Linked DNA regions of Drosophila melanogaster. The protein of the gene in region 4 binds, or shares a complex with, the protein of the main gene of each other region. Each region holds a gene or a part of one and is shown on either strand. Other genes may lie near its edges.

Region 1 (3,413 bases), on a different chromosome or scaffold from region 4:
GTGCTCACGGCGATTGATAAATTTTCCAAACTGGCCATGGGAAGAGTTATCAAATCCAAAGCTGTAGAAGACATTAGGAAAGCCCTAAGAGATATCGTGTTTTATTATGGAGTGCCTAAATTAATAGTAATGGACAATGAAAAGTCCCTCAACTCAGCCTCTATCAAATTCATGTTGACAGACCAGCTGGGTATTGAGCTCTACAAAGCACCTCCGTATAAGAGTACAGTAAATGGACAGATAGAAAGATTTCACTCCACACTCTCTGAAATAATGAGATGTTTGAAAGGAGATGGAACACATAGGGGCTTCGAGGAACTTCTCGATAGGGCCATCTATGAATATAACTACACTGTCCATTCTGTCACAAAAAAACGACCTCTAGAGGTGTTCTTCGGCAGGATAGCTACCGTAGCTCCAGAAAAATATGAACAAGCTAGACTGGACAATATAGACCGACTTAGGCAAAAACAGGAAACCGACATAGAATACCACAACCGGACAAGAAAGCCCATAAAAACCTATATCAAAGGGCAAGAAATTTTCGTTAGGGTTAATACAAGATTAGGTTCTAAGTTATCAAGTAGATTTAGGAAGGAACTAGTTAAGGAAGACCGAAGTACCACAATATTAACAGAATCAGGGAAATTAGTACATAAAAGTAACATAAGATCATGATTGCTTCAGAATAATTACTGTGGCCACATCGATAGACAAGTAGAACATAGAAACATTAAACATACTGATTAACGTAACCACGAGAATTAAATTTGAAACGATTCGACTTTGACAGACGAGTTGGCCATAGGTTTGCAGAATTAGATTGGGCTCGTGAAAGAAGAGATTGCGTTGTGAATGCGTTTCTGCGGAGCGAGTTTAAATTGAATGAGACCAGTAGCCTACTTGAAAACAATATACCGATTTCTGCCTTGACGGTCAAATAAATGTTAAAACTTTCACACGTTCTCGCTTTACACAACGGAACTACAATTTGAATGCCATTGAAATCTCCATATTGAATCAGTTAATTCCTTATTTCTTATATTTTAAAACATGATCAGTAAAGGAAACTAATAATAATAAATAAATAATAATTTAATTTGAATAATAATAAAATTTACCAATTAAAGACGAAATGTACGGAATCAATGCCTTCTGCAAAGGTTCCAATGGTCTAAAAATATGTAGATATAAATTCATTAGTAATTTAGTAAAAACCAGAATTTTAATAGAAGCAATCAAGTTGTCAATGCAGAACACATCCGAGTTGCACAAACCTCGAACGCACGCAACAATAAACACCTGGCATTCAAACCATTAATGCTGTGCCCAAACTACCACGAATCACCCCACCAACGATGCGACTCAAAAACATCCCATCCTTATGATGACCGCTCGAGGACAAGCGTCAATTAAGAGGGGAGGAGTTATTGCCCTGCAATTGATTCTCTAACATCTTGTGGTTCCACATAGTCTCCGCTGCCATCAACGCCAACGAACGGTTAAGCGCGACATCGACACTTCTGCGCTGCGCCGCGGCCGACGCCTGCTGCGCCGCTGCCGACGACTTCACTTGATTGCTAGGGACTTAGGGAAACATTTTGTACGCTAGATTTAGTTTCAAATGATAAATTGCAATAAACGGTCGCTTGCGATCTTCAAAATCAAATCGATAACTTATTAACTTATATGTAACGAAATTTCAAATGGTATATTCCAAAAAGTGCAAAGTGGTATTAGCGGTATATTTTTTGGACACACACGGCATATTTTTGTGACCGCGGCAGGGTAACACTCTTTTGTTGCTGATTAAAAATCCGCTTAACTCGTGGCGAAATTTGCATTTACGATTTCGCATACAAATCGCGTTGAAAATCAGAGTGAGTGCACCCCAAGCAAGCGCCCAGTGTAGCCCCACTCACTGCGCCCTCAATTCCTTTCAGATGCCGGGCGTTGAAACGATCAAATCCTCCTGGGCGGACGAGGTGGAGCTCGACTATGGTGGACTACCTCCGACGACGGAGACGGTGGAGAACGGACAGAAGTACGTGACGGAGTACAAGTACAACAAGGACGACAAGAAGACGAAGGTGGTGCGCACGTACAAGATATCCAAGCAGGTGGTGCCCAAGACGGTGGCCAAGCGACGCACCTGGACGAAGTTCGGCGACTCGAAGAACGACAAGCCCGGCCCCAACTCGCAGACGACCATGGTGTCCGAGGAGATCATCATGCAGTTCCTCAACTCCAAGGAGGACGAGAAGGCCAACGATCCGCTGCTAGATCCCACCAAGAATATTGCCAAGTGCCGTATCTGCAACGGTGAGCATTGGTCGGTCAACTGCCCGTACAAGGGCACGGCGATGGACACGAATATGATGGAGAAGAAGGCTTCGGCAGCCGCCGCGGCCGCCGTCGATGCGCCCAAGTCCGGCAAGTATGTGCCGCCGTTCCTCAAGGACAGCCAAAAGGGCGCGCTGGGAATGCGCGGACGCGACGACACGGCCGCCATTAGGATATCGAATCTGTCGGAGTCGATGACCGAGGCGGATCTCGAGGAGCTGGTGAAGAAGATTGGACCGCAGAGCAAGATGTATCTCGCCCGCGACAAGAACACCGGACTCTGCAAGGGATTCGCCTACGTGCACTTCAAGCAGCGCAAGGATGCGGCCGCCGCCATCGAGATCCTCAATGGACACGGCTACGACCACTTGATCCTCAGCGTCGAATGGTCGAAACCCCAGAACAATTAGTTAGTCCCGTTCCCACTACCCGCGTTTACTGCTCATAGGAGTCCGTTCGAGTCGATCACACAATTTGTCCCTATGCTATGCTAAGTTTGCTACAAATAAATCTTAAAACAGCCCCCATGGGCACCGAAAACCAGATGACTATGCTCTGCAAGGATACAATGGCATCTAGAATCGTATATTTTTCATATTTGATATAACTTAATCGCTCTTCTTTAGTTTTGCGGACCAACCAACACAAATGCTTTCGACTTTTGCTCTAATATAGCTTTCTCCCTCGTTTTAAAGGACGCAAGGCCACCAAATCGTAGACACTGGGAACAACATATAAAAGAAATATTTTTTATTTGTTACTTAAAAAACTTGAATATGATTTGTTAAGTGTATTTTTTAACGACATGCAGCTACCCACATATGGTTAACAAGTTAACCTTACGCGGTGCCCACTGTAGAAAGCATGATTCCAGCCGATCTGGCAACGCCATCGTTTGCATGCGAATAAACACCATGGTGTTGTTGTTTTTGTGTTTGCCAGCGATTTGCGTAAATTGTGTTTGTTTTTGTGGCCAAAAATAGAAATCAGATGCCGCAAAATATTCAAAAAGCATTCGAAACAATATTTTTGATCTTCAGGTGTGCGCTCATTTTCAGTCGTCAGTGAGA
Region 2 (6,276 bases), on a different chromosome or scaffold from region 4:
TATAGCACATTGTCCAAAATTTGTTCACGTGGACCGAGATTCGCGGCAGCGGCACAGACAGTGTGACCAGGGGCGCGCACCGCGGAGGATCCGCGAGGCCATGGCATTAGTGCCAAGTTCGCAAGAAAATACTAGTTGAGTGTGCGAAGAAGGCGCGGGCTCATATTATCGAGGCAAATTTTCAGAGGCAGAATATTTTTGTTTTGCTTGCTATAAAAGCTTTTCTAAATTTACTCGAATTTATTCCCAACGAATATGGTTTTACCTAAGAAAGATGTCACTTTTTTAAAATAAGTCAAGCGTATGTGATAATACAATTTACAATACTTTTGAATGCATTTTTTATTTATGGGCAATTAAAAAACCTAATGTTAAAAAGCCACGCTTCCAAGAACGAACTTTGTAAAACTATAGAAGAACCCGCATTTGTTTAGTTTGCAAACTACATTTTAATGTAGTTTTAGCTCTGTCGAAATATAAATTTAAAGGGACTGGTTTATAAATCACTGTACGTATAAGGGAAGCTTGGTTCATCCTGAAATCTGATAAATAAGAATTAGAATTTTTGAATTAAACCAATAATAACCACTTTTCATTTCTTTGATTCCCAAGGTTCTCATTCGACAATTTCACTTTTCAATTTTTTAGAACATAGTTATTTTATTCGAAAGTACTTTAATTAGTATCGGTCCTACAACCATCTCAATTTTAACTATCTGGCACAAGCTTTGGATAGATAGATATAATATACCGGCCGACTGAGCTCTACACCAATAAAGTACAAGTCGGATGAAATAAAAACTTATTAAGAATATTATGCTGGGTATATACGATGATGAAAATAAAAATTAACGACGCTTAACGCTGGTCCACTCGCCATCATCGCCAGCTTTGTTCTCTGAAAGATGTAACGCATTGATAAGAATGGAAATTAGGTTTGCTGCTGAGATTACTTACCCTTTTCCTGGGCTTGATCGCGCTTAGCTGCTGGTTTTTCCTCACGGGTCGCAGGAGCAGTACGCCAGTTTCCGCCTACTCCGCCACTGGCTGCCTCCTTAGGAGCAGAGCCGCGTTGATCGCCACGAGTCTCGCGCACATCTCGGTCGCGCCTCTCAGCTGGGCGACGGGTTTCCCGATCAGCGTGGCGTGGAGCGTCGCGCCAGTTCCCTCCAGTTTCCCGCTGAGGCTCGTCGGTACGACGCGCCCCGTCGGCGCGGCGGAATCCACCGCGCTCATCGTCACGATCCCGGCGAGGACCATCGTCACGGTCACGCCGAGGCCCATCATCCCTGTCGCGACGAGCCCCATCAATGCGGAAATCGCGGTCACGTTCTCCGCCACGCCGCCACTTGTCATCGCGCGATTGCGGAGCGCCACTGTCTTTGGGAGCAGCTGCACGCTGTGAATCTGGCTCTCGTCGCACACGCCAAGAGGAGTCCGCTCCCTCGTTGTCCTTGCGGTCACGGTCACCGCCTCGTTCAATGCGCTCTCCACCACGCTCGAGGCGTTCTCCACCGCGCTCGATCCGTTCTCCTCCGCGCTCGATACGCTCGCCACCACGGTCGTTGCGTTCACTGGCCGCAGGTGCAGCACGACGCCACTCGCTGGATCCGCCGTTAGATGCGCTTGGACGGTCACCGCCTCGAGGACGCCATGTGTCACGGTCCTTTTCAGTGCGTTCGCGCTCCGAGGCCAACTCCCTGGACAGGCGGTCTCGATCTTCCTTGATTTTACGCTCAGCTTCCTCCTCCTTGGCACGCTGCTTTTCGTATTGGGCACGACGCTTTTCGTCCTCAGCCTCACGCTCCAAACGGCGGGCTTCTGCTGCGGCGCGCTCTTCGGCAGCCTGTGCCAAGCGAATCTCTTCCTCCTTGCGAAGACGCTCCTCCTCTTTCTCGCGAAGGAAGGCCTGTCGGCGCTCCTCGCGGCGTCGAATAATGCGGTCGGCTAAGCGCTTTTTGCGCTCTGCCTCCAGAGCAGCCTCAAACTTTTTGAGCTTTTCGACGTAGAGGGAGGCACGTTCTTTTTTAAGGGCCTCAAGGAATTCATCCCGGTCCGGATACATGCGCTTGAGACGCTCCTGCTGGGCGACGGCATCCTTCCGTTCGGCAATGGCATTCTCGATGCGTGTCTTCTCGGTTGCTTCCCAGAACTCCTTGTCCTTAACCTGCTTTTCGGCCAAGTATTTTTCGAAAAGCGGTATCTCCTCCAGGCGCTTGGCGCGTTCGAAGTAGTCGATTTTCTTCTCTTGCGATTTGAGTTTCGACTGCAGTTCCTTGGCCTCGCGCTGAAGTTCCTCGCTTTCCCGCTTGGCGATCTGCTCGGCGTCCAACTTCTTAATGCCTTCCTCATCCAGCTTGGAAAGCATCTTCTTACCATGAGCCGTCTGCGAGATTTGCTGAACCTTCTCCTTGAGACTCTTCTCCCGGATGGCTTGGATTTCGTTCTGATGGCGCTTGCGCTCTCTTTCTTCTTGCTCCTGCTCGAGGCGCTTCTGTTCGGCCAGTTTGGCCTTCCGCGATTCCTCCTCCTGACGCCGCGCCTCTTCCTCTTCACGAGCATTATTCTGCTTCTCGATGTACTCCTTTCTGTCCTCGATGATCTTCTGTCGCTGAAGAATACGCTGGTGCTCGCGATCCTTGATCTCATGGTAATGGTTTACCATCTGGTTGCGGAGCTTGGCCCGCTGGTCACGTTCACGGTTCGGGTAGACGATTGAAACTGCCCGTGTCAGAACAGTAGACATATTAACCAACTGAGAGCGGATCTGTTCCGAGGGCATCGATTGCAAAGCGGGTCCGTCGGGGCGGTACTCGCGTTGACTCTCGGTCAGATCAGTGCCGAAATAGATACTGTTCTTCTGGTGGTCAATACGAATCTGCATGTCATTGTGACGCACGGACTCGACCAGCAGTTTTTCCAATTCAAAAATGTTGCAAAAACTGGCCAGCTGCAAGAGACGCTGGAACTTAATACTCTCATAAACCTGAGAGATCTGACGAATCAGACGCATTATAGTCACGTCCTTCAGCGATTGAATGTAAGGAGTGAGCAGAGCGTTTTCGGGCCCGTTCTCAATGAAGTCCACGATAGACTGAATGCGCTTGCACAGATTCAGTGGGTTGAAATCCACCTCCAACCAGTTGTATAGATTGCGAAAGTCCTCAGATACGAGTTGAGGAACATTCAAGCGCACCTGTGTTTATGAATTAGTCATAAGTCATTACTATATTGCGTGATACTTACCACTTCACGAATAAGGGAGACGCGAGTAGGTGGCTGGGGCAGGCCCAAAAGCACGGCCAACTTCTGCGCCTTCTCCAGGGGGCTCTTGTCCGCCTCAATAAACCTGTCGAACTCTGGATGGGCCGAAGGCAACGGAATAGAAAGAGTGGCCAGGAGAACGTGGGCAGCCATACGCTGCAAGTCGTCCTTCGTCAGGTTCTTCTTCAGCTCGCGCGTCAGCTGGAAGAGCTTCAGCAGCGCTGCAGCGTGGAACAACTGGTTGCCGGCCTTGCTAAAGACCATGGCTAATTTTTGGTAGTAGTTGGCCATGGTTTTGGGCACGGGTGTCTTCTTGGACAGAGCCATCAGGCCATGGATATCCTCGATTGCCTTGTAGGCCTCTTGCCACAGCTCCATCTGGATGGCCGAGTCAAGAAGGTACAACCTGGTGTCCAAGCAGAGCTGCTGCGTTTCCACCTTGTTGATCGAGACACCGGTGGTCTGGTTGCTGCTCTTGCAAATGTCCTCCAAGTGTTTGCGCAGCTTGTCGCACAAGCGGCGAAACTCGCTCTTGCGGTTGTACTTAAGGCAGAACTGGAAGGCCATGCGAGCGATATCGTGGTACAGCGCCTCGCAATGCGTGTTTACGCGCAGCAGCTCTAGACACTGGCAGTAGGACTCCCACAGGAACTTGACCCACGGGAGCAGAATAGTGCGGTCGGAGCGGTCCTGTGCGTCCTCGCCACACACTGCGCTCATTAGGATGCTCTCTGGCGTGGCAATGTTGTCCAGGTCATCCAGCTCCAGAACAGCAACGGCCGCCGAGGACTGGGCTTGGGCAGCCTCTGTGTGCTCTTCGGCCATTTTCAGGTAGCCGCGGATTACATTTTCCAGAGAGTTCACGTTCACCAGCTGGAACATGTTCCGGTACTGGAATAGTCCCTCCTTGGCGATGTGCGACTTCTTGAGTTCCACGCAGAGGTACAGGTACTTGAACATGAGCGGTTCGATGACCGTCTCCGAGTAGGCATAGTTCCATCGCTTGTTCCGGAAAACTTCCTGCAGCGTGTCCAGCGCCCTAAGCGGCTTTCCCACTTCAATGAACTCTGTGACGAAGAGAGCGGCGTCGAGTTAAGAGAGCACACGATTCGCGAAGACGAAAGTTTCTCTTCAGACACCGCATGGAAAATTTTCAGCACTCACCATTAGCCCTTTTTAGGGCGTTTTCCGGACGTTGCGTATAGCGGGCCATTTCCGATCGCTTTACTTACTTGCGGCGGCACTTCAAGTTGATTTTGATAGCAGGTCTGGAGCGTTTTGAGACCTGGGGCTGCTGAAAATTGTATAAATCTTCGGCTCGCCTACGTGTGGCTGCAATATTAATGCAAAATGGCCGAGTCGACGGCACGCAGGGCTACACCTGGCTGCGTTATCGATAGTTCAGGCCGATAGTTGCCGATGGTCAGCTAATCGCAGTGCAACTCCGCTAGCTCACAGCAATAACACGAGGAGTAATGAAGTCGCTCTAGAATATAAATAAACAATTCATTAATTAAAATAGCGACATGGTCAACTGGAGGAAGTTTATCTTGTGGTTCGCCCAGGAGCATGTCGACTTTCGCGTGCAGGAGTTTGATTCGCTGGTCAAAATGTTTGGACTTCAGGTCCGGCGGCTTACAGAACACACCAGGGTAAAGTGTTTTAGTACCAGAATTTTGAAAACGCAAGATTAACAAATTCCACCTCCCCTATAACTTTTAAAACCTGTGGTTTAATGTTATATCCAAACTTGGAATTTTATTAATATGTTTAATATTTTTAACGTAAAAAAATTTTATATGTATTTGTAAGAGGAAGAAAATAGTAAACTATATTTTCAAAAGTGTTTTCAACAGGTAGAAATTTAGCATTACTAGCTATAAATTATATACGATCGTTGAGATCTCAGGAACTACAAAACCTAAAAGGTTTCGAAAGGATACCTGATACCTGGTATACATACATTACGAATACGATCCGCGTACCTGTTAGATGTTTTTAGTGTAGGATACTTTGATTACATTATTTTTAGAGCTTGCGACACATATATAAATACTTCTGTAGTATAGAAGCATCAGCATATATAGTTATATTTATATTTTTTAATTTCGGTATTACAGAAACCATTTTGGTTGGTCGAATTTCGGGACACGGATACTGCGTTGCTATATGCATCCAGGTCCGTTTCGTTGCGCGCCATGTTCGAGCTCTACGCCCACTCCAACAAATTACCCGAGTTTCACCAGAGGCTACGGAATCATGTTACCGCGAACTGGCATTCGCTTGCGGAATACTTTCGGGTGGATGCCAGTTTTAAGATCGTTGTGGAGACCTACAACAAGCACTTCAGCCAGAGGGAAAAGGTTGAGAAAATCGAGTCCATGGATTACCTGCCAATAGAGGGAACGGTCAATCTGGAGAAACCCGTGGTGGAGTGGTGGTACATCGAGTTTTGGGGCTTGGATCCAACGGCTGTGCCACCTGAGCCGGAGGACATTCTGTTTGGTCGGCTGATGGCCCATGGTCAGCGGCATTTGATCAAGGAGCTTTCGCTGAAGCATCGTAAGTTTATCGGTAACACCAGCATGGACGCCCAGCTGAGCCTGCTAATGGCCAACCAAGCGATGGTACGCAATGGGGATCTGGTATTTGATCCGTTTGTGGGAACGGGCTCGCTTTTGGTAAGCGCCGCCAAGTGGGGCGGGTATGTCCTGGGAGCGGACATAGACTACATGATGGTGCACGCCCGCTGCCGGCCGAGCCGGATAACCCAAAAAGTGCGGGAGAAGGACGAGAGCATTCGGGCCAACTTGAAGCAGTACGGCTGCGCTGATCGCTACATGGATGTGGTGGTGGCCGATTTCTCCAACCCGGTGTGGCATTCCCGCATCTCGTTCGACTGCATAATAACAGATCGTAGGTTTATTCTTTTTTATACCAAACTTAAAATGTTCATTCTTTGGTAATTTAAGCTCCCTATGGAATAAGAGAGGCCACGGAAAAGGTGGAGAA
Region 3 (4,371 bases), on a different chromosome or scaffold from region 4:
TAAAACATAGCGGTACCTTAAGCTTTATGAATTTGTTGTTTTGACAAACGGCTCTTGACTTTTTCAAAATGTCCGATTTCGAGTACGGAATTTGCCCTTACGACAAATCGCACCGCATCTTGCTCTTCCGGATGCCCAAGCACTTAATTAAGTGCGAGAAGAACTACTGTGGACCGCCGCTGCAGACCTGCAAGTACAACGCCACACACCGAGTCCAGGACATGGAGAAGCATCTGAAGGAGTGTGACTACTATCTCCGCAGCATCGAAAACCAGGCGGTGCAGATAGCGCTTCGTAGTCGCATACCGCCCAAACAGGAAGATGGACATGATGTGGACACACCATTTTAGGCTAAGACAAGCAGGCATCCAAATATACCATGTACATATGTGATAGTATATGAACCATAAAATAAAAAGCTTCTTGAAGAAGCATGCACAATATTCGTTTGATTGCATTTATGTTCTGATTAAAATAAGAATCTTAAACTAGAGGAGCAAAAGTTTTGGTATTTACAAGCCTGTTGCTATTGCATTGCACAAAGCCTGGGGTCAAATACATTCGTCTGGCGTTTAAAACATTTGCAGGCACTTTTCCACAACTATTTACAGTCTAAGATTACGTCTAGGACAAGCTACAGCATTACACCATATCGAGGTCCGATTCTGCCGCTTCCTCGTCGATCAGCTTTCGTTTATCCGTTGATTTGGTCGTGGCATCACTTAAATTGGACAGCGGACGCACCTTGCCCAAATTAACCACCGGGCTTTGGGTGTAGAGATAGATGGCGTAGGATACAACCGCGATGGCCAGCGCGGTGTTCATGTAAATGGGTATGGAGAAGAGGAAGTAGCATAGGACTGCCGTGAAGAGCAACTCCAGAGCGCTCGCGAAGGTCTTTAGAATGGAGTTCATGTACTTGAGGAAGAAACTCGTGACAATGCCAATAGCCGCATTGTTAACAATAATGATTAGCACGCTAAAGCGCATAATACTGCCCAGATTCTGCGGACTAAAGGCATCAAGGAGCTCGCCGCGCAGCAAGAGGATGACTGCATTGCAGACAATCGAGTCCAGGTACATGAAGACATTCTGTACAAAGATATTCACATCGGCTCCCTTATCTTTAAGCAGATACTCATTGTAAACGCCCGCCAGACAAGAGCAAATTGTCTGTGCCAGAATGAAGACGGCACTCAGGCTAAAATCGAAGCCGGACATGTTCTTGCCGTGAGCGTGCGTCTCTGCAGAAGTTGTTTTATTATGTGATTGCAGCTGCTGCTGTATGGCTGCGGACTCGCTGTCATCATTCGCATCGCTGTAGAAGCTGCCGAAATCGACCTGCTTCATCATACAGCCGAGTGTCAGCAGTATGAGGGAGATCCATTGCCTTTGCGACAGGTACTTCTTGAAGATAATTTGGAATAGTATGCCCGTGACAACGACACGTAGCTGCAGTAGCAGATAGTAGGTGGTGGGATCGAATGTGGCCAAGTTGACAAAGGCCAAATTGTTGTACAGGCAGTAGAGAAAGGCGGGCACCATGTACAAGCCCAATACATTCCGATCCTTCTGAACATCGCGCACCAGGGAGCGTAGGTTGTTGCTGTGAATGAAATCGCGGTTTAATAGCGAGACAAAGGAGCGCCTCCACTCCTACTCACTCTCGGCAATACAGACAGGTGGAGACTATCAATTTAAAGACCTCGGTTAGCAGCACAACCGTGACGGTATTGTAGCCATAGGAGTTATTCGATTCCTGAGATGCTGTGACAAAGATGCCTGCAAAATAGACAGGAATTAGGGTGCGGCTTTGGCTTGCGTAAAAAGCCTTAATAAGGCAGCTGCATACCCTGTCCTATGAATAGGGACATGTACAACAGGAAGATCACAAATGTGAGCTTGGTGGGGAACAATTCACGCCAATTAGTTGACATTTCTGCGGTCTTCGTACTGCCAGCGTTGCGTTGCTAATGCGAAGAGAACTAAGACTAGCTACAAGTTGCGGCAACCGCAGTTATCAGTACCGTTCCGCTCGTTCGTGACAAGTGGGCCGTTTCTCGGTTTTCTAGGAAGTACAATTTTGAGTTTGTTTCTGTTGCTTTTCCACTGATAAACAAAATATATTTTGGGCCTTTTTTTATCGCTCGCCCGAACAGCTGATTTTAAAGCAGTGCACGCTTTTCAACACTTCAACCCACACAAAAATTGTGGTGTTGCGAAACGCCCTTTTACCACTGCAGCCGAGTTCACGTCGTGGGTCTTTTCGCTTACAATTCGTCAACATGGCAAATCGCGCAAATCGTCATGCTGCTCGCACCGAGGATTCGGATAATACCATTAACTACGTCCAATGCGACGGACTGGTGAGTAGTGCTGTTGGCCAAAAGACCTGGCCGAGATTGGCCCGTGGGAACCGGCGCGAAAGCCGGAAAAGTTAATGCCACGCGCTGTCTCAGAAATTTGCGTGCTTTGTGTGTGTTTGTATGGGTGTTCGTGAGGACATGGGCGTAGAGCTATAAGGAAAAGGGGGCCGGTCTCTTCATTACCATAGCACAAAAAACTTCAGTCAAATGTTTTCTTCAGAGAAACTATTAAAAGAAAGTCCGAAATATATCTACTTTCCACGCCCCTGTTCAAATGCAAATAGTTGTCTGTCGCTAATTGATTTTGGAACATAATTACTACGATCACTTTACCTTGCAGGCCGTCATGAAGATGGTGAAGCACTGCCATGAGGAGTCGAGCAACATGGACCTCGCCCAGGGCGCCCTGCTCGGTCTGGTGGTAGACAAGTGCCTGGAGATCACCAACTGCTTCCCGTTTCCCAAGAGCGGCGATGAGACCATGGACGAGGAGATGTACCAGCTGACCGTGATGCGTCGCCTGCGTCGCGTCAACGTAGATCATCTCCATGTGGGCTGGTACCAGAGCTCCGACGTGGGCAACAGCCTGTCAATGGCTCTGTTGGAATCGCAGTACCACTACCAGACCAGCATTGAAGAGTCCGTCGTTGTCGTCTACGATACGCAGAAGTCATCCCGCGGATTCCTGTGCTTGAAGGCCTACCGCCTTACTCCGCAGGCCATTCAGATGTACAAGGATGGCGACTTCACTCCAGAGGCATTCCGCACCCTGAAGGTCGGCTACGAGAACCTCTTCGCCGAGATTCCCATTGTGATCAAGAACTCGCCGCTGACCAACATTATGATGAGCGAGCTGAACGAGCTGCTGCCCGAGGACAAGGGGCACAACTTCCTGGACCTGGGCACCGCCACCGTATTGGAGAACCAAATGCGTAGCCTGATCGAGCGCGTCGACGAGTTGTACCAGGAGGCAGTGCGCTATAACAAGTACCAGCAGGTGGTCTTCAAGCAGGATACGGTACGTAGCAATATAATTAAATATGTAAAAATTCCTAATCGCTTTCCTTGCATTTATATTTTTTAGGAGAAGCACCGTGCTCTGGCTAAGCTGGCCGCCGAGAACGCCGTTCGCACATCGAAGGGAGAGCCCACGGTGCCAGAGGAGGAAGTGATCAAACAGTTCCGCCCCATGACTGCGCCCAACCGCCTGACGGCCACCATAACCTCTGGCCAGATCAATACCCACGCCCAGCATATCGCACAATTCTGTTCGCAATCGCTGGCCAAACTCTTCATCACGGAATCGCTGCAAATTGCCAAGGAAGCAAAGGAAACCAAATAGATTAGCTAATGTTAAGCGTTTTTTAAGCTGAGGCAACAACATTCACTACCCACAAACATAGCAACTGCACACACAGACGTCGAAAATAAACCAAACAAGCGATGAGTGGGCTTGGAAGCGAACTGCCAGCTGATTTCTTCTTTATTGTACTCTCCATTTGCTCAATAGAATGGCCAATTCAAACCGCCCCAAAAAAAGAAAACCACCACCCGCTATGCAGCCAAAAATTGGTACTGCTTCTGCGCACGCCGGATGTTTGGTTTCACTTCTCGATGAGACTTTCCGGGGGAGTGTTGCTGCCACTGACGACATCGACGCACTTTTCACACCACCCCACAAGCAGCTGCTTATCATTTGGTTTGTTCTTTTCGCTTCGCCTTTTCGCTAACCAGCTTCAGTTAGCCTAACTAACTAAATTACTAACCCGATGGCAAAATGCTGTCCTACGACCTCAACGAACGCCTGCTAACCGCCGTACAGAGCGGAGATTTCGAGCAGGCTCTGGGCTGCATCATGCAAGGTGCCCAGGCCTCGTATGTATCGCCCACTTGCGGACGCACTGCCGTGGGCACGGCGGCCATTCTGGGCGATGCCGAACTGTTGGAGCTGCTGCTTCAATCCTGCGAGGAGCCCGAGCTGAATGTCTTTCATCAGTGTGAGTTT
Region 4 (4,048 bases):
TACCTGCCAGGGCAAGGAGGAGCAACAGGTGAGTGCTCAGAGAGAGATTCTACAGCATACAAGATTATTATTATTATTGTATATGGATACATATGTATGGTGAAAGTTTTACCCCAAACCAGGAAAAGATAAACTTTGCCAGTTATGAGATAAAAGTAACTAAACAAATATTTTTCTTAATTTTCTCCCGCAGAGCTGTGAAGCGTCGGCTGGCAAGTGCGAGATAACCTTCGATGGGTACTACTTGGAGTCGGGCATTTGCGTTCTGTACGGCATAGTGTGGCTGCTGCTGGTGCGCAAATGGATCGTTTACTTGCAGGACCTGCCCGTCAGATCCTGGTTGGTGGTCAAGCAGAAATCGCGGTAGCAATCAATAGTGTGATCCGGGGCCAGATCGTCATAAAGATCCAGCACCCACTTGTAGGTACAAACAACTAATTCTAGGATTAGCAGACGTTTGCATTCTGTAGGCTAGCGAAATTACAAATTCCCGCCTTGGTATTGTTTTTTGTATAACTAATTTTGATTCCGAAGGAAATAAAATCAAATGTTGAATTGAGCGAATGAGTAAGATGTTAATTTATTCGCTCGACTGCGCGCAATCATCGGTTTTTAAAGGGTACAAAGAGTCTTAACTTAATTGTGGATAAAAAGTCAGCAACTAGTAGTACTTCCAGGAGTCGGCCGACTCCTGATTCTGCTTCTGCTTGCTCTTGCGCTCAATCAAACCTGCCAAATGCTCCGACCGCATGGACAGCGAGTCGATCTTCTCCACCAGCTGCTGATAGGGACTCAAGGGCTGGGTGCCCATCACCACATGACCCAGTTTCGAATCGATCTTGGCATTCAGACGGGCATTGCGGATAAGGTTGACGATCCAGCACTCAGCCTCGTTGGGCTTCATGTTCAGCTTATCGGCCAGCATGCTGATGGTGATGCACTGGTGGATGCGGCAGAATGTCTCGAAGATCATCAAGCGGGCATCCTCCACGAACTCATTCAGGCAGGCCACGATGAAGAAGTCGTTGAGGATCACCGTCTGGCACTCGTGCAGCTTCAGACGCGCTCCCTCGAAATCAAAGTTCACGTACAGACACTCCAGAAACTCGGTGATGGGATCGCGGTACGTGTACGACTCCTGTTGGATCACCTTGATCAAATCCTTTAGAGCATTGCGGCGGGTGCGGTTGATGACTACGGCGGTGGCCAAGTAACGCATGATGTGCGGACACATTGTCTGAATGGCGTTCAAATACAGGGGCTTGTACAGGAACATCTCAATAATGAGATCGCGTCCCTTGGGGTGATTGAAGAAGACCAGGACCGACCAGTGGATCAGCCAGGTGCGTTGCTGCAGGGCCTGGATGGTGCTGAAGTTGGCGTTGTCAATGTAGTCGCGCAAACGCGTCAGATCCTCCAGAGCAGTGTTCCAGTTGAGGGTCAGAATCTCGGCGGCCAGCTTGCCCCACAGCACATTAAGGTAGTTCTGCAAAATTTGGGAGACAATATCAATTAATATTCTTGTTTTAGTGGTTTTTGCCGCTTTTCATGTTAATTTAGCTCCATACGCACCTTGTCGTTGGGCGACATGACGATGAGGCAGAAGTACAGGTAAGAGGTGGACTCCTGATAGTTGCCGCACTCGTAGAGGTACTTGGCCAGCTTGTAGGCGCTCTCCAGGTGCTCCACCTTAAAATTGTAGTCCTTCTGAAGGGCGTTGACGAAGGTCTTCGAGTCCTTCATGCTCTCACCGTTCTTAAGAATGTCGGTGGCCTTCATGATGGGTGCCACCTCGTTCTGCAGCTGCTTAAGCGTGGCCAGGACCTCCGCCTTGCGCTGCACGAGCTCCTCGGGCATCTCCTGGCTGAGATTGAGACGCTTGCGGGTGTCCATCGTGTAATCGATCATGTTCGTCTTGTTCACCGTCTCCAAAATGTACTCCAGCAGCTCCTGCTGGTTGTAGATCTGCAACGAAAGTCACACATATGAAGATTTCCCATAGTTATGTACTGGTGACTCGGCAACCGCCAGCGGAGCACCGCCTGGTCGCTTTTCTAACCTCCTTGCCGCACAAGAACTCCAGCAGCGGGAAGGTCAAATGCCTGTCCAAAAACTGGCAATTGATGCGTGTCAGATCGAAATTGGCCATGATTGCAGCTGTTTTACTATGTTTTCACAATTAAATTTACACGCAAAATCGGCAGAAAAATACGCGTGCGAGGGCCGACAGTGTGCCCAGAGACGAAAAGAGTGACGCCCGCTCAGAGTTACCAGAGTGTGGTATTTCCACGACATTAAATACCATGACCCTGAAGCCGTATTTTTTTCAAGCTTTCAAAGTGGCGCATTTATTTAAAATAAAATTAAGTCATTGAAACAACTTTCAAAAAATACTCAATTTTCAAAATTTCTATTATCTTAGCATGGCTATTATAGCAATAAAAAATTATTATTTCAATTGTGGCGCCCAGACTGAAACCCGGTCTGGCATCACGGCGAAAAGAGGTACTAACGCCAAGACCTTTCCTGGAGGACGATATCTTCTGTCTTCTTATCGTCAGACTGGACACACTGGAACTTCAGCTCCGCTCGTAACAAGCTTACGGCATAAAACAACAAGATATTGTACTTAGTAATTAAATAAAGCGGTAACTACATAAGTTACCATACAATGAATTTAAAGAAATATTATTAAATATTTTCTACATTACAATGGTTTCTCATTCCTTTAAAGTTATACGCTTTACGTAAAATACCAATAATTTTAAATTACAAGGTATACATATAACAAAGGTTTTTAATTTCAAAAAGACGTTGCCTCTCTTTTCAAGCTATTAATAAATATATTTCCCATGCCAAATTCAAAACACAAATATCAACTCATCGGAGAAATGCTTTTTAATAATTTGAATATTTATTTCATCAAATACTTGCACATAAATATATTTATATAGAGATGTCTGTATAAGGGTATACATTTGGGTTAAATATGTTTTGTATAAATTGTGTAATTCTTTGTATTCGCACATTCAACTGCCAAAGAGCAGATTTGTTTTAACAATAGCCACTTAGGTACATTTGCGGTCAACGGTCGAATGCAGTTCAAAACACAAAAACAACATCTAAAAAATGCGTTTCGATATTGGCCGAGTTTAATACATTTCTCTTTCTGTATATACGATTTATGGATTGTATATAGGATGGTGGAGATCAGCATATCAATTTTCACTTCATATATTTCGTTTGCATAGATTAGGCAACTCAAGCTAAAACAACATTGAAAAAATGCATTTTCTAAATATTTAATGTTCAATTAATTTTCATTTTAACGATAACGGTAAGTTTCTAGTTATTGTCCTTAGATTTTTTGTTGGATATTCGATTTCCGTTAAGATATACATATTGATTGGCTTCAATCAGAATTTCAGTTTGCACTCTTAATTGACTCCTGCCGCATCATCATCATCATCATCATCATCATATGGAGGGCATCTCGACGAACCACTAACAATTCCCAGCCAGCTTTGCGATCAAAATAAAACTAAATGAAACGTGTTTCGTTTTGGTTTGGTGTGTAAAAAACTCAAGTCTTTTTAGTGTAAACTAAACTAAAATCGCGAAAATAAAAATCACAAATCGTTAAAGAATTTCGCACTATAGGCTAAGGACGATGCACGCACACAAAACTTGATATTAGCTGCTCTGGCTGCCTCTGTGGATCCTCTTTAGGATGTCGCGATGACGCCACCAGGTCCTGGAAGCCCACTGGGACGGCCGGTCAGATAGGAATCGACCTGTCGTGCGGCCTGGCGACCCTCGGTAATGGCCCAGACGACCAGCGACTGGCCACGCCGGCAATCTGCAAAGGACAGAAGATAAATTAACATTTTTGTTATGCAAAGATACAGAAATCATTCAATGATTGATGTGATTAACTCTTAATACTAAGCCTATTACTTAGTAGACATAAAACTGACCTCCTGCCGCAAAGACCTTGGAGTTCGAGGTGCCATACTGTCCGTTGGATGCCTTGATGTTGCCGCGCGGG

The links.
Region 1: eIF3e (region 4) and eIF3g1 share a complex: the UniProt entries of both Drosophila melanogaster proteins name them as parts of the eukaryotic translation initiation factor 3 (eIF-3) complex.
Region 2: eIF3e (region 4) and eIF3a share a complex: the UniProt entries of both Drosophila melanogaster proteins name them as parts of the eukaryotic translation initiation factor 3 (eIF-3) complex.
Region 3: eIF3e (region 4) and eIF3h share a complex: the UniProt entries of both Drosophila melanogaster proteins name them as parts of the eukaryotic translation initiation factor 3 (eIF-3) complex.

What each region holds. Positions count from the first base shown.
Region 1 is NC_004354.4:2,608,713-2,612,125, reverse strand, and holds eIF3g1 (eukaryotic translation initiation factor 3 subunit g1), read left to right. Parts: upstream 1-1,789; 5' UTR 1,790-1,880; intron 1,881-1,943; coding exon 1,944-2,753; 3' UTR 2,754-2,879; downstream 2,880-3,413. UniProt on the Drosophila melanogaster protein: RNA-binding component of the eukaryotic translation initiation factor 3 (eIF-3) complex, which is involved in protein synthesis of a specialized repertoire of mRNAs and, together with other initiation factors, stimulates binding of mRNA and methionyl-tRNAi to the 40S ribosome.
Region 2 is NT_033777.3:4,429,271-4,435,546, forward strand, and holds eIF3a (eukaryotic translation initiation factor 3 subunit a), read right to left. Parts: upstream 4,626-6,276; 5' UTR 4,478-4,625; coding exon 4,429-4,477; intron 4,332-4,428; coding exon 3,247-4,331; intron 3,197-3,246; coding exon 958-3,196; intron 899-957; coding exon 849-898; 3' UTR 528-848; downstream 1-527. Other genes in the region: CG1074 (uncharacterized protein), read left to right, coding at 4,791-4,916, 5,385-6,180, 6,237-6,276. UniProt on the Drosophila melanogaster protein: RNA-binding component of the eukaryotic translation initiation factor 3 (eIF-3) complex, which is involved in protein synthesis of a specialized repertoire of mRNAs and, together with other initiation factors, stimulates binding of mRNA and methionyl-tRNAi to the 40S ribosome.
Region 3 is NT_033779.5:5,050,650-5,055,020, reverse strand, and holds eIF3h (eukaryotic translation initiation factor 3 subunit h), read left to right. Parts: upstream 1-1,937; 5' UTR 1,938-2,285; coding exon 2,286-2,366; intron 2,367-2,706; coding exon 2,707-3,384; intron 3,385-3,450; coding exon 3,451-3,708; 3' UTR 3,709-3,828; downstream 3,829-4,371. Other genes in the region: CG14036 (uncharacterized protein), read left to right, coding at 69-350; senju, read right to left, coding at 643-1,606, 1,665-1,782, 1,853-1,937; CG9121 (uncharacterized protein), read left to right, coding at 4,144-4,363. UniProt on the Drosophila melanogaster protein: Component of the eukaryotic translation initiation factor 3 (eIF-3) complex, which is involved in protein synthesis of a specialized repertoire of mRNAs and, together with other initiation factors, stimulates binding of mRNA and methionyl-tRNAi to the 40S ribosome.
Region 4 is NT_037436.4:16,784,685-16,788,732, forward strand, and holds eIF3e (eukaryotic translation initiation factor 3 subunit e), read right to left. Parts: upstream 2,258-4,048; 5' UTR 2,150-2,257; coding exon 2,060-2,149; intron 1,966-2,059; coding exon 1,573-1,965; intron 1,487-1,572; coding exon 662-1,486; 3' UTR 558-661; downstream 1-557. Other genes in the region: CG9706 (uncharacterized protein), read left to right, coding at 1-28, 194-367; CG9674 (uncharacterized protein), read right to left, coding at 3,726-3,859, 3,978-4,048. UniProt on the Drosophila melanogaster protein: Component of the eukaryotic translation initiation factor 3 (eIF-3) complex, which is involved in protein synthesis of a specialized repertoire of mRNAs and, together with other initiation factors, stimulates binding of mRNA and methionyl-tRNAi to the 40S ribosome.